3 linked regions of the Cricetulus griseus genome follow. The protein of the gene in region 1 interacts with the protein of each later gene in a biochemical or structural test. Links are inferred from orthologs where the notes say so. Each region holds a gene or a part of one and is shown in the gene's direction. Other genes may lie near its edges.

Region 1 (3,510 bases):
CCTGGACCTGCCAGCGTGCAGCAGTCCAGACCTAGGGTGCACACCGAGGGTGCTCATGGCACTACACGAGGCGGCAGGGGCGATCGCCCTCAGCACGGGGCTGGGGCGGGAAGGGGGGGGGACAGATCGCCTTCCCCACACTGATCCTGGGACTCTTAATAGCCACGCAACCCTGCTGATCTCTTCAGATCAGATTCATCTTGGACCCTGCTCCTCTCCCGGGACAGGTCCCGATTGCCTCTCTCTCGGGGTCCCCGTCCTGCCCCTCACATGAGATCCGCCACTCCCATCCAACTTTTATTCCTCCGCTGCGCTAAACGTTCGGCTCGCCCACCCTCCCGGCCCGCTTTTAAACCCCAGGCAAATCAGGAGAGCAGATGGCTAACACGAGAAGGGGTGATGGGGGTGGGCAGAGTCCCCTCGACAGAACGGCTTCTCCCTAGTCCTTTGTGATCCATCTACGGGGTCCACTTGGGCGAACTTTCTGCTTCCCGAGTTTTAACAATAAAAAAAAAAAAAAAAAGTTTGCGTTGAGACCGCCTCCTCCGCGTTCCGGCGGGAACTTCCTTCCTGCCGGAGACCCCGCGCGCCCCCTCCACCTGGGGCTCAGTCTCTCTCTCTCTCTCGGTGCTCCGCCGCGGCCCCGCCCACTCGGGAATCGTCCCGCCTCTCCCCGACGCCGATTGGCCCGCCGGAGGCTGCAGACGTCGCCCCGCCTGCCGAGGGGGCGTGGCTTCGAGGTGCAGCTCCGCACGACCCGCGCGTTTCATCCGCCTCGAGCCTGGGAGGCGTCGTCGCGCGCCCTGCTCTCTCTCTCGATCCCCGGCGGATTCCCGCACGCGCGGGGGAGGGAGGGGCCGTCGCTCTTTTTTCTTTTTATTTCTTTTTTTTTTTTTTTGGGGGGGGGAGGAAGAGGCGGGCGGCCGGGCGCCGCCGCGAGCCGCAGGCCCGGGCACACCGGCGCGTGCGTAATCGCCGCTAGCCCCGCCCTCTCGCTCAGCCCGCCCGCGCCCCGCCCCGCCCGCCCGGGGTGGCGGCGCCCAGCGCGCGTGCGCGGCGGCGTCGGGCGCCAGATATTTCTGTCCCGCCTCCGGGCCGCGGCTCTTTCTGCGAGCGGCGCGCGGTCGGGGACGGTCCTTTCGCGAGTCGCGAGCCGAGGAGCGCGAGGTCCCCGGCGGCGGGCCGAGGCGGAGGAGGAGGAGGAGGCGGAGGAGGGGGGCGGCGCCGTCGTCGTCGTCGTCCTCGTCGTCCGCAAGGGAGCGAGGCCGGGTAGCCAGCCGCGGTTTTTTTTTTTTTTTTGGTTTTTGTTTTTTTTTTGTCTTTTTTTTCCTTTCTATTTTTGTGTCGCCTGCGTCCCCAGAGGCGCGCGCCGCGCGGGCGTCGGCCCCGGGAAGACGCGTGGCGGCGGCGGCGGCGGCGGCTCGGCGGCAGCGCAGGCTCGGCCCGGCCCCGGCCGTTGGCGGCGAGCGCTCGTGCGCCTGCGCGGCGGCCTCCGCGCCCCTCCTCCCCCGGGCGGGCCCCCCCTCCCTCCGCCCCCCGCCCCCCCCCACCCCACCCCCCACCCCCCGGGGCGGGAGAATGGCGGCCTCGGCGGCTGCAGCAGCCTCGGCGGCCGGCCGCGCGGCCACGGCGACCTCCGGCAGCCCCGGCTCGGCGAGGGCCGGCGGTGGGCGGCGACAAGCGCCCCGCCGCCCTTCTGCGGCCACGGACGGCCACGGCGACGGCGACGGCGGCGGCGGCGGCCTCTGCAGCGGCGGCGGCGGCGGCGTCGCCCGCGGGGCGGTGGCGAGGCGCAGGAGCTCCTGGAGCACTGCGGCGTGTGCCGCGAGCGCCTGCGGCCCGAGCGGGAGCCTCGGCTGCTGCCCTGCCTGCATTCGGCCTGCAGCGCGTGCCTCGGCCCCGCCGCACCCGCCGCGGCGGCGGCGAATAGTTCCGGGGATGGCGGCGGCGGCGCGGCGGCAGCAGCGGCAGCATCAGCAGCGGGCGACGGCGCTAGTGAGTGGGGCTGGGTGGCCGGGGGACCCCTCCCCCCTCCTCCTCCTCCTCCCCCCTCCCTGCAGCCCTGCGCCTGTGCGAGAGTCTGGGGGGCTCCCCCCCCACGTAGGGTAGCGGAGGGGAGGGTTGGGTTAGCCCCCGGTGGCTTTAGGCTGGGGGTGGGGGGGTGGGACACACGAGCTCTTGGCCTCTGCGCTGATGTGCGCGTGGCCCCCCTGGTCCGCGTCCGCGAAGATGCAGAGTGTGGTAGGAGATGGGAAAGTAGCGCCAGGGCAGGGAGAAGGGTAGATTTGTGTCTGTCTGTGGTTCCAGCCTTCTTGGGGGGTGGGGGGTGGGGGGAGGCACGCAGGTCACAGCCTTCTTGGAGGGGGGGGGGAGGCACGCAGGTCCGGAGAATGTCCGGCGTTCACGCCCTTGTGTCCCGCAGTGGTGGATTGTCCAGTGTGCAAGCAGCAGTGCTACTCCAAAGACATCGTGGAGAATTATTTCATGCGTGATAGCGGCAGTAAGGCTTCCTCCGATTCACAGGATGCTAATCAGGTGCGTTGTCCTGGGGGAGAGAAAGGGGTTGTTGCGTCCTTTTTCTGGAGCCTCACCATCCTCAGCTTGCTTGGCTGTTTTCGGGATCTAACCCCAGCTTCCCGGAGGGCAGTACAGATTTGAGGGCATGGTTATAGGAAGTTTAGGTTGTGTGTTCTGGGAAGTAAGTGGCGTGTCTGCTGCGCGGTTCTGCCGATTCTAACCCTCCTCTCTTTCACAGTGCTGTACTAGCTGTGAAGATAATGCCCCAGCCACTAGCTATTGTGTGGAGTGCTCTGAGCCACTGTGTGAGACCTGTGTGGAGGCCCACCAGCGGGTGAAGTATACCAAGGACCACACTGTGCGCTCCACAGGTAGGTGAAAAATTGGAGGCTGTTGGAGCTACCCTCTTCTTTCATTTGCCCAAAATGGCTGCTTGCTGGATGGTTTTCCAGGGACCTGACACAACAGAAAAAGTTCCTGGGTTCAGTAATCTGGGGTTCTAGATGGGAAGGGAAAGGTCCTAGCCAGGCAGTGTGTGTAGGGTGTCTTAAGTATGTTGCAGTCAATACTAAGGATTGAACTAATACCATCTTGGGAAACTCAGACAGTGAGTGAGTGGGTCCTGGTGGTAGACACCTTATCGTAAGCAGCCAGTGAAAGCAAGATGGAAATGACTTTTTGGATTTGAATGTTCCCTGTCTGGCTTCTGGCTTTAGATTGCTGGAAAAGTAAGGGCTCTGGATCAGGCAGGGTTTCTTTTATTTTTTCATTAAAGATTTATTTATTATGTATACAGTGTTCTGCCTGCAGCATATATTCATGCAGGTCAGAAGAGGGCACCAGATATTACAGATGGCTGTGAGCCACCATGTGGTTGCTGGGAATTGAACTCAGGACCTCTAGAAAGAACAGCAAGTGCTCTTAACCTCAGAGCCATCTCTCCAGCCCCCAGGAAGGGTTTCTTGACCAACCATCTTGACAGGTTGGTAAGGC
Region 2 (4,266 bases), on another chromosome or scaffold:
CCTCAAACAAGCTGTGTGGAAGGCATGCTACTGGGTCTCCTAGCTTCAGCTCTTGACCTTCCACAGTCTGTTCCCACTCCATTTAGAGGAAAGCAAGTCAAGTTACTTTTTGGATTAAAATCCTCTAAAGGTTCTTCTTGCACTATGAATAGAACCCACAAGTGTCTTGCTATGACTCATGAGATCTGTCATAATTTAGTCTTTCTCCCTCACCCCCACCCCCCCCCCCCCATCCCTGCTTTTTTTTTTTCTTTTCTGGTGTATGTGTGCCTGTTTGGGTACTCGTGTGAGGCCAGAGGACAACCTTGGATGTTATTGCTTGGTCACTGTGCCCCTCATTTTGAGAGATGGTCTCTGATAAGCTTGGTGCTAGCTGATTGCACTGGCTTGTCTGGTTAACCACAGATAGGTCCTCTCTGGCTCCTCCCCAACATCCTTCAGCTTTTTGCTCAAATATTACTTTCTCAGTGAACTTTCCCCTGGACGCTCAGTTTCCTTATATGTTTGTCTTTCCTGTTTCATTCTCCCCTAAGCCAATGTGGCTCCTGTAGCAAGCTGATCCATGGGTTGTTTTTGTTTCTTTTCGTTTTCTGTTTGTTAAACTCTACACTCAGGGAGGCCCTGACCACAAAGAGAGCAGGTGTTCAGGTACACAGTAGCTGTCCAGTGATTGTTTTATAGATCAGCCTGTGGACTTGTGTCAGCTACAACAGGAGCAGACTGGGGACGTGCCTGATTTCAGGACAATTTGTGTCTGTAATTGTCTCCCCTGCAGGACACACTTGTTGGAAACTAAGGTTCTCAACGGTTCTCCAACTCTAGTAACTTCGGGAAGGCAGCAATTAAGGATTCAGACTAGATGAAGGATGGGGGAATCCACTTTCCAGGAGGTGGCTGAAGGGGCAGGTGACAAGAGATCAGCGGGCGGGCACTGAAACAGGCCAGCTTGGGTTTTGGGCTCTGCCAGCTGTCAGCTGTGCAGGGAAGGCAACTGAGCAAGTTACTCCCTCCCTCACACGGAGTTGCTTTGTATTTTAAAGGCGCGGGTGTGTGGGGAGGAGTCCATCAGGTCTTCCTCTTTGGCAGGCTATTGCAGGGATTGAAGGCGATCTTCACGCAGGTAGCCCACAGGCATGCTGCAGAACGCAGGTGTGGCTGTGGAGCAACAGAGGAGGAAGTGGCAATGTCGGCGTGGCATCTAGGGGAGGGTGCATGGAAGGGAGGGGAAGGCTAGGAGGATCTCGCGGGCAGGACGGCAGTTGGGTGGGGGCAGGGAGCAAAGGAGGTGTTTCCTGGGACAGGGGGCGGAGACCTAACGGCTATAAGGTCCCCCAGGACTCAAGTTCACTGAGCTTCTGCAGACACTGGGCAGCTTTCGGTACTCCTGCTGTGAGCATCACCTGTGGCCCTTCTTGCCTGCACCTGCAGCCAGCACCTGCAGCTCGCACCTGTATCAGGCCCCAGCCATGACGCACAAGGCGGCCTTCGACACGGATATCAGCACCCTGACCCGCTTCGTCATGGAGCAGGGCAGGAAGGCTCACGGCACGGGCGAGATGACCCAGCTGCTGAACTCGCTCTGCACTGCCATCAAAGCTATCTCGTCCGCGGTGCGCAAGGCTGGCATCGTACACCTGTGAGTTAGGCCTCTGGTGGCCCTGTCTGGTCTATTAGAGCGCCTGGGGGTCTGCCTCTCTGGCCCCCCTGCTGGTAACCAGTGTGCCCACTCGACACCTGAGATTCCTGTCTCTTGCCCTGCTGCTCACAAACCCTTATTCTCTTCCTCCTGGTGATGGAGCAGGTCCCCTGGGAGGGCTGTCTTCCAGGTGCATAACCTGCTCTACCCCTCCTCTGATCTCAACTCTCCTTGTCGCTCCTCCCAGCCTCATGGTAAAAGTGAGTGACTTAACAGTTGCCCATTTCGGTCTCAGACAGAAAGAGACACGGTCACCTTCCTCCCCTGTTACTCTCTTTGGAATTTTGGACCCAAGTTGTTTCAGATCCAGTGTCATCCTCGACCTAGACTAGTTCCGTTAAGAATATTCCACCAAGCGATAGTTTAGGAAGAAGTGAATACCCAGTCAAGTCCGGCTGTCTATACAGTGTCCTGTCCTCTCTCTGGGATTAGCTGCAGAGCCTCACCTCGAGAGCAACAAAACCTTTCCCTATTTGCATTAATGCCTTGAGCAGATCTTGCCCAATTAGCGAAGAGCTCGAAGACAGGGCAGATGTAGTAGTCTTCTTTTGATGGAGCCAAGGAATTGATTTCCTTCTTCTGAAACATTTGGGGACCTTGTTATTCAGACCCTCCTTCAGGGGTGATTGGGGAAGGTCTGAAATTCTGCCTTTCCAATAAGTTTCCTTGTGGTGGGTGATTTTTTATTTTTTTATTTTTTTATTTTTTGAGTCAGGGTCTCACTCTGTAGCTTTTGATGGTCTGGAGTTTATACTATGTGCAGAGCTGGCTGACCTTGCACCCACAGAATCTGCCTGCTTCTGCCTCCTGAGTGCTGGGATTAAATGTGTGCACCACCACACCTGGCACAGTAGGTGATTTTAATGCTCTGATCTATAGTTCATACAGTATAAAAGGAATACTATATAGTTCATACAGAAGGAAGTGAAGAAAACCTTTCTGTAAACTACTCAACTCTCTTTTACTTTGTTCTGGTCTGAGCACATGTTTGGTATCTAACTGGTCAGCATACAGCTGAATGGAACCTGGGTTTTCAGATTATTTGTATATTTCCTTAATATTTTTCATGCCTATTAGCAATGCAGAAATGCCATTCAAGGTTTGCGGCTAACTTGAGCATAATAATCCTTTGAAGTGCATTTTTTAAAATGCTCCCCCAACAATGAGGCCTGGGTTATTTATTTCTTTATGCATCTATTTCTCAAAACCTCTGTTTCTACTGTGTGGCTTGGTTGAGCTAATTCTTAAGAATGAAGCACCTGGTCACATTTACTTTCAGATGCCAAGGAGGGCTAGGCCTTGCTAGAGAAAGCTAGGAACAGGTATGTTAGAGGTGAGAACTCCCTCACCATCTTGTTCTTGGCCCTAAGGAGTTATTGAGCAAGTGCTGGAAGGTAAAGTCTCACTTCAACTTGAGTTTCCAGGGCACAGATTTAACTCTCTGAGTACCTGGAAGCTTTCTAAGAGACAGCAGTTGGCATTTTTTTTTTACATTATTTTAAAAATGCACCAGTACTTGTCACAATCTCAGAAAGACTTAGAACCCCCAAATCCCACCTAACTAGCCCCGGAAAATGGGAATGGGGTTTGGTAGAAGGTGCCAGTTTTGGCATGGAAGAGAATGTATATTGGTAGACTAGATGGTCATGACACCATTTTTGAAAATATTATCATAGATTCCTTAAGGAGTTGTACCCATTGACAAAAACACCACGCCATTCAAAAGATATGGAGGAAAAGGAGACCCCCCCACCCATGCCAAATCCTCAGAGTACCCGCTGCTAACTGTTGTTGATTATTTTCTCTGACTCTTCTTTATGCTCATGTAAATATCTACATGAACATGCATTTACATGTTCCTATGTAGCTAGCAAACAAAATGGGACAGTATTTACCGTGTTTTCCTCCAATTATGTAATGAACATTCTCTGGCATGGGGTGTGACACCATCCACTTCCTTTTAAACTGCTGCAGGATGTTCCACTGAGCAGACATCTTGAATAATGGAACCCTTCTGTGGCTTTGTGGCATTTAAGTCCTTGCTACTCTGGTTGTTACAGTGGTAGGACAGGTAGGAAGCATTCTTGTGGGACAGTGAGCAGGTGACTACTCACAGTATGACAAGCAGTCAGACTTCCAGCAGCCAGATATGATCTCGACAGGCCTCCAAATTATATTCATTTGGGCTTTGATGTATTGAATGAAGAGCCAGTGCGGCTTCAAAGAGCTTAATTATCACTCCCAATTGGCCCTAGAAAAGCATGCACCCAAAGGGATGGGATGGTTGTAGATATTTCAAGAACCTCATTGGGACTGGTTTCCAAAGCTCAGTCTGGTGTCTCACAGCTCAGCAGAGTTATAATTATGGTTCATGCTGCTGCCTTGTCTCAGTTAACTTCAAAGTTGCCACTGTTGTCATTTCCATTGCTCCTAATGATATGATATCATGAGACAGCATTTCCTATAGCCCAGGTCAGGTTCTGGGGAAGGGAAGGTTAAAAGTATGGAGTTGGAAGAGAAGACATGGAAAATGAGTGGACCAGGTGAAGGAGTGACCAGAGCTATAGTAG
Region 3 (4,041 bases), on another chromosome or scaffold:
GAAAAGAAAATTCAGGAAGTGACCAGATGATGACTACCAAAAAATTAATTTAGTCAGGCAGTGGTGGCACATGCCTTTAATCCCAGCACTCAGGAGGCAGAGGCAGGTGGATCTCTATGAGTTTGAGGCCAGCCTGGTCTACAGAGTGAGTTCCAGGACAGCCAGTGCTGTTACACAAAGAAACCCTGTCTTGAGAAAACAAAAACAACAACAAAAAAAGAGGATTAATTTAGTACTTTCTGAAAGGGAAAGTGATTTCAAGGCTGAGGAGTAGTAACCTCATGGAGGTGGAGATAAAAGATTACAGAGACCGCTGGACATTACTGAAAGGTGGAGATTTGGTAAATCTCAGGGGACAAATATGTTAAGATTTTTGTTGTTCTTTTGTTTTTCAAGACAGGGTTTCTCTGTGTGCGCTCCTGGAAGTCGCTCTGTAGACTAAGCTGGCTTCAAACTCACAGAGATCCACCTGCCTCTGCCTCCCAAGCGCTGGGATTAAAGATTATTCTTTAGCCTGGTAGTAGTGGCACACGCCTTTAATCCCAGCGCTTGGGAGGCAGAGGCAGGTGGGACTCTGTAAGTTCGAGAAGAGCCTGGTCTACAAGACCTAGTTCCAGAACAGCCTCTAAAGCTACAGAGAAACCCTGTCTGGAAAAAAAAAAAAAATATATATATATATATATATGTATATGTATATGTATATAATATGTTATTATATATATATATATATATATATATACATATTAAACGCAGAGGATATTAATTACAGAACTGCCCAGAGGCAAATGGGGTTTTTTTGTTTGTTTGTTTTTTTGGGGTTTTTTTTGGGCGAGGCAAATGGTTTTCCTGACCAAATATCTAGGGGCTAGTTTCCAAACACACGTGTTCTGGGTAGACTGAGTAAGATGTTGTGGCCTGTCATCTGAAGTTTGAGGCAAAAGAAAGGCCACGAGTTCGAAACCTGCTGGTCTACATACCCCGTTATTAAAAAACAAACAAACAAGCCCCACCACCACTCAGCAAACTTTCTAGACTGTAGAGTTATAAACTACAGTCGACCCCGCCTTTCCAGTTTAAAGGAAACAACCCTAGAAAGTAGGGGGGCGGGGCGGGGGAGGGAAGAGACTCGCGCGGCACTCTGGGATTTGTAGTTTTGCACGGACTCAGAGTCCCATGATGCCGTGTGGCGGGTCACCGCGTCTGCGCGGTGCCGGCGGCGGGCAGCGCAGAGTGAGAAGCTCTTTTGTTCGGCTGAGGGGAGGGCCATTGGCGGGGCCTGGAGTAAGCGGCTTCACCGAGGCGTCCCATTGCCACCACAAGGCTTTATTGCTTCTCTGGGCGCTACTCCCTCGGGCCGCCCGACGCGACGCACTAGCAGCGGAGCACCGATTCTTGGCGGACTCTCGGGCGCTGCTAGGAGGTGAAGAGGCGGGGGGAGGGGGCGCGGCGACGGCGGGAGGCCGCGGGCGGTCGAGGGCCGCGAACGGAAGCCTGGAGCGAGCGGAGCCGGGGGCGCGGCCCGGTCCTTCACGTTCGCTTCCCGCGCATAGCTCGCGGGTTGCGGGAGCCTGGAGAGGGCGGGGCAGCGAATCCGGAGCCCGGGAGCCAAGTGGTTCCAGATGAGAGCCGAGCCTTCCGAGGGTTAGCTCTTCAGGAGCTGGACCGAGACGGATTGACTCGAGGGAGCGACTTTGGAGTTGGGCGGGAGAAGAAAAACTTTAGGACTTAGCGACATAAGAGGACAGGCTTGGTGCTTTGGGTATGCGTGGCACGGACCACGACTTCCTACGCTAGAGGTTTAGAAATGTAACCTGAGAAAGCGGACACGGTGGCGGGCGCGGGCAATCCCAGTAGCACTTGGAGGAGAGAAAGAAAAAAGAAAAGGAATTTGAGGATATTGAGTCCGACTGACAGTATCAGTAATTTCTCTTGCCAGGGTCACGAAGAAGTAACTTCCAGGACAAGGGTCTTGGGTTGCTCAGGGTGTGCTTATTGAGAAAAGATTTGTTGAACAAATCTGGGAGCGAGGGATCAGACGTTTTCTTGACCGGATTCTGTAAAGGAGTTCTTGGGATAAGTAGGGTAGAGGTCCAGAGAAGGATCGAGTGAAATGTGGAAGAGAAAAGGGGTATCTGGAAATGTAGCTTAGTTTGTAGAGTGTTTGCCTAGTGGGCTGCAAACCCTGGATTCAGTCTCCAGTGGCACATAAGCTGGTTGGGTGTGAAGGCATGGACATGTAATCTTAGCACCCTGGAGGATCAGAAGTGTAAGACCTTTCTTGGCTGCATTGGAAGTCAAGAAAGGGTGAAAGGGCCACTTTTTGCCTAGTAATGGGTCTTTTTTGTTTTGTTTTTGAGACAGGTTTTCTCTGTAGCTTTGTAGACCAGGCTGGCCTCACTCATAGAGATCCACCTACCTCTGGCCCCCTGAGTGCTGGGACTCAAGGCATTCACCACCACCGCCCTGCCATAGTGGGTCTTCATTGTGAGTTGGGAGACTAAGAATAGCATGTGTAAGGCAAGACTCCTCAGATAAAAAGTGTTTGCTCAATCTGAGCAAGCCTTGAGACCTCAGTTTAACTCCTGGAACTCAGGTAGTGATGGAAAGAAAGAACCCACTCCAGAAAATTGTCCTATGATCTACCCGTGAGGGTATGGCAGGGACCGGTAAAAGTAGGCTTCCACACACACAGTAGTGATATTTTTATTAGAAAATAGTTATCAGCTGGGTGGTGGTGGTGTTGCACACCTTTAGTCCCAGCACTCGGAGGCCAGAGGCAGGCGGATCTCTGTGAGTTTGAGGCCAGCCTGGTTTACAAAGCTACACAGAGAAACCCTATCTCAGAAAAAAAAGTTATGAAATATGGAACTCATTTTTCCCAAGTTATGTACCACTGAGTTATGTTCCAGTACCACAAAAAATATTTTTAAAAAATGAGTTTTACAGCTGGGCGGTGGTGGTGCACACCTTTAATTCCAGCACTCAGGAGGCTGTGACAGGTGGATCTCTGAGGGAAAACCTGTATCAAAAAAGCAAGAGAAAAGAAAAAAAAAGTTTTACTGGAACATAAGGTGTCCTCTCCAGTTTTGAATTAACAATCATGTCAGCAGCTTGGAATAGTTTCAAAAGATCTAAGGTTTGGGGATAGATGTGTGACTGTAATCAAGAAATTAGTGCCTGTGCCCCTCCTTGGAATGAATGTTGAGAAGATTCCAGTGGTGTGTGTTGGTGACTCCTATAATCCCAACCAGCACTTGGAAGGAGCAGGAGCACCATGAGTTCAGGACCTAGGGAAAGCACCCATATTGAAACCACTTTCTCAGTAAAGGTTTGTGGATAATTCTTCAGTCACTTCTGGTTGGTCACTTTTTTTTATAGATAGTAATAAAATTGGTAGAATTTTACCCTCCCTTCTAGGTATTTTTGTGATCAGTTAAAATACTGTGTGTGCACATGGGTGCATGCCATATCCCATGTATGGAGGTCAGGACAATTTTGGGAAGTCTGTTCTTCTACCATGGGCTCAGGAGATCAATCTCACCATCAGGCTTTGTATGGCAAGCAGTTTTACCTGCTAAACTATCTCTGAGGCCCTCTGAACAATTTTTTGAAATAAAAGGCTGTGTGTCCCTGGCTGTCCTGGAGTTTACCCTATAGTCCATGCTGGCCTCAAACTCAGAAATCTGCCTGCCTCTGCCCCACCCCTACCCAAGTGCTGGGAGTAAAGACATTTTCATTTATTTATGTCTTTATTGTTTTATATTTTGAGACAGGATCTGACTATCTCTGGATGACCTGGAACTTGATATATACACCAGGTTGGCCTCAAATTCAGAGACATGCCTGCCTGTGTCTCCTGAGTGCTGAAATTAAAGTTGTTCACCACCACACCGAGTTGGGTTTTGGAGGGTGGCGGTGTTTTAGTTTTTAAACGTGGGGGTAGGGAGTGTGCCATGATATGCTGTGGAGGTCAAAGAACAATCCGTTGTCCTTCTCTTCTACTGTTATGCTAATCTGTTGAGTGAACACAGGTATGTTGGG

Evidence for each region.
Region 2: the proteins of Trim28 (region 1) and fructose-1,6-bisphosphatase 1 form a complex in vitro, tested with the Homo sapiens proteins (2 studies listed by BioGRID). The link is inferred for Cricetulus griseus from reciprocal best matches to the Homo sapiens genes TRIM28 and FBP1.
Region 3: the proteins of Trim28 (region 1) and Cbx1 form a complex in vitro, tested with the Homo sapiens proteins (3 studies listed by BioGRID). The link is inferred for Cricetulus griseus from reciprocal best matches to the Homo sapiens genes TRIM28 and CBX1.

Annotation. Positions count from the first base shown.
Region 1 is NC_048602.1:25,612,348-25,615,857, forward strand, and holds part of Trim28 (transcription intermediary factor 1-beta), read left to right. Parts: intron 1-1,000; coding exon 1,001-1,264; intron 1,265-1,360; coding exon 1,361-1,995; intron 1,996-2,422; coding exon 2,423-2,535; intron 2,536-2,755; coding exon 2,756-2,888; intron 2,889-3,510. UniProt on the Homo sapiens protein: Nuclear corepressor for KRAB domain-containing zinc finger proteins (KRAB-ZFPs).
Region 2 is NC_048596.1:280,508,586-280,512,851, reverse strand, and holds the start of fructose-1,6-bisphosphatase 1, read left to right. Parts: upstream 1-1,466; coding exon 1,467-1,636; intron 1,637-4,266. UniProt on the Homo sapiens protein: Catalyzes the hydrolysis of fructose 1,6-bisphosphate to fructose 6-phosphate in the presence of divalent cations, acting as a rate-limiting enzyme in gluconeogenesis. Plays a role in regulating glucose sensing and insulin secretion of pancreatic beta-cells.
Region 3 is NC_048600.1:109,939,984-109,944,024, forward strand, and holds the start of Cbx1 (chromobox protein homolog 1), read left to right. Parts: upstream 1-1,241; 5' UTR 1,242-1,420; intron 1,421-4,041. UniProt on the Homo sapiens protein: Component of heterochromatin. Recognizes and binds histone H3 tails methylated at 'Lys-9', leading to epigenetic repression. Interaction with lamin B receptor (LBR) can contribute to the association of the heterochromatin with the inner nuclear membrane.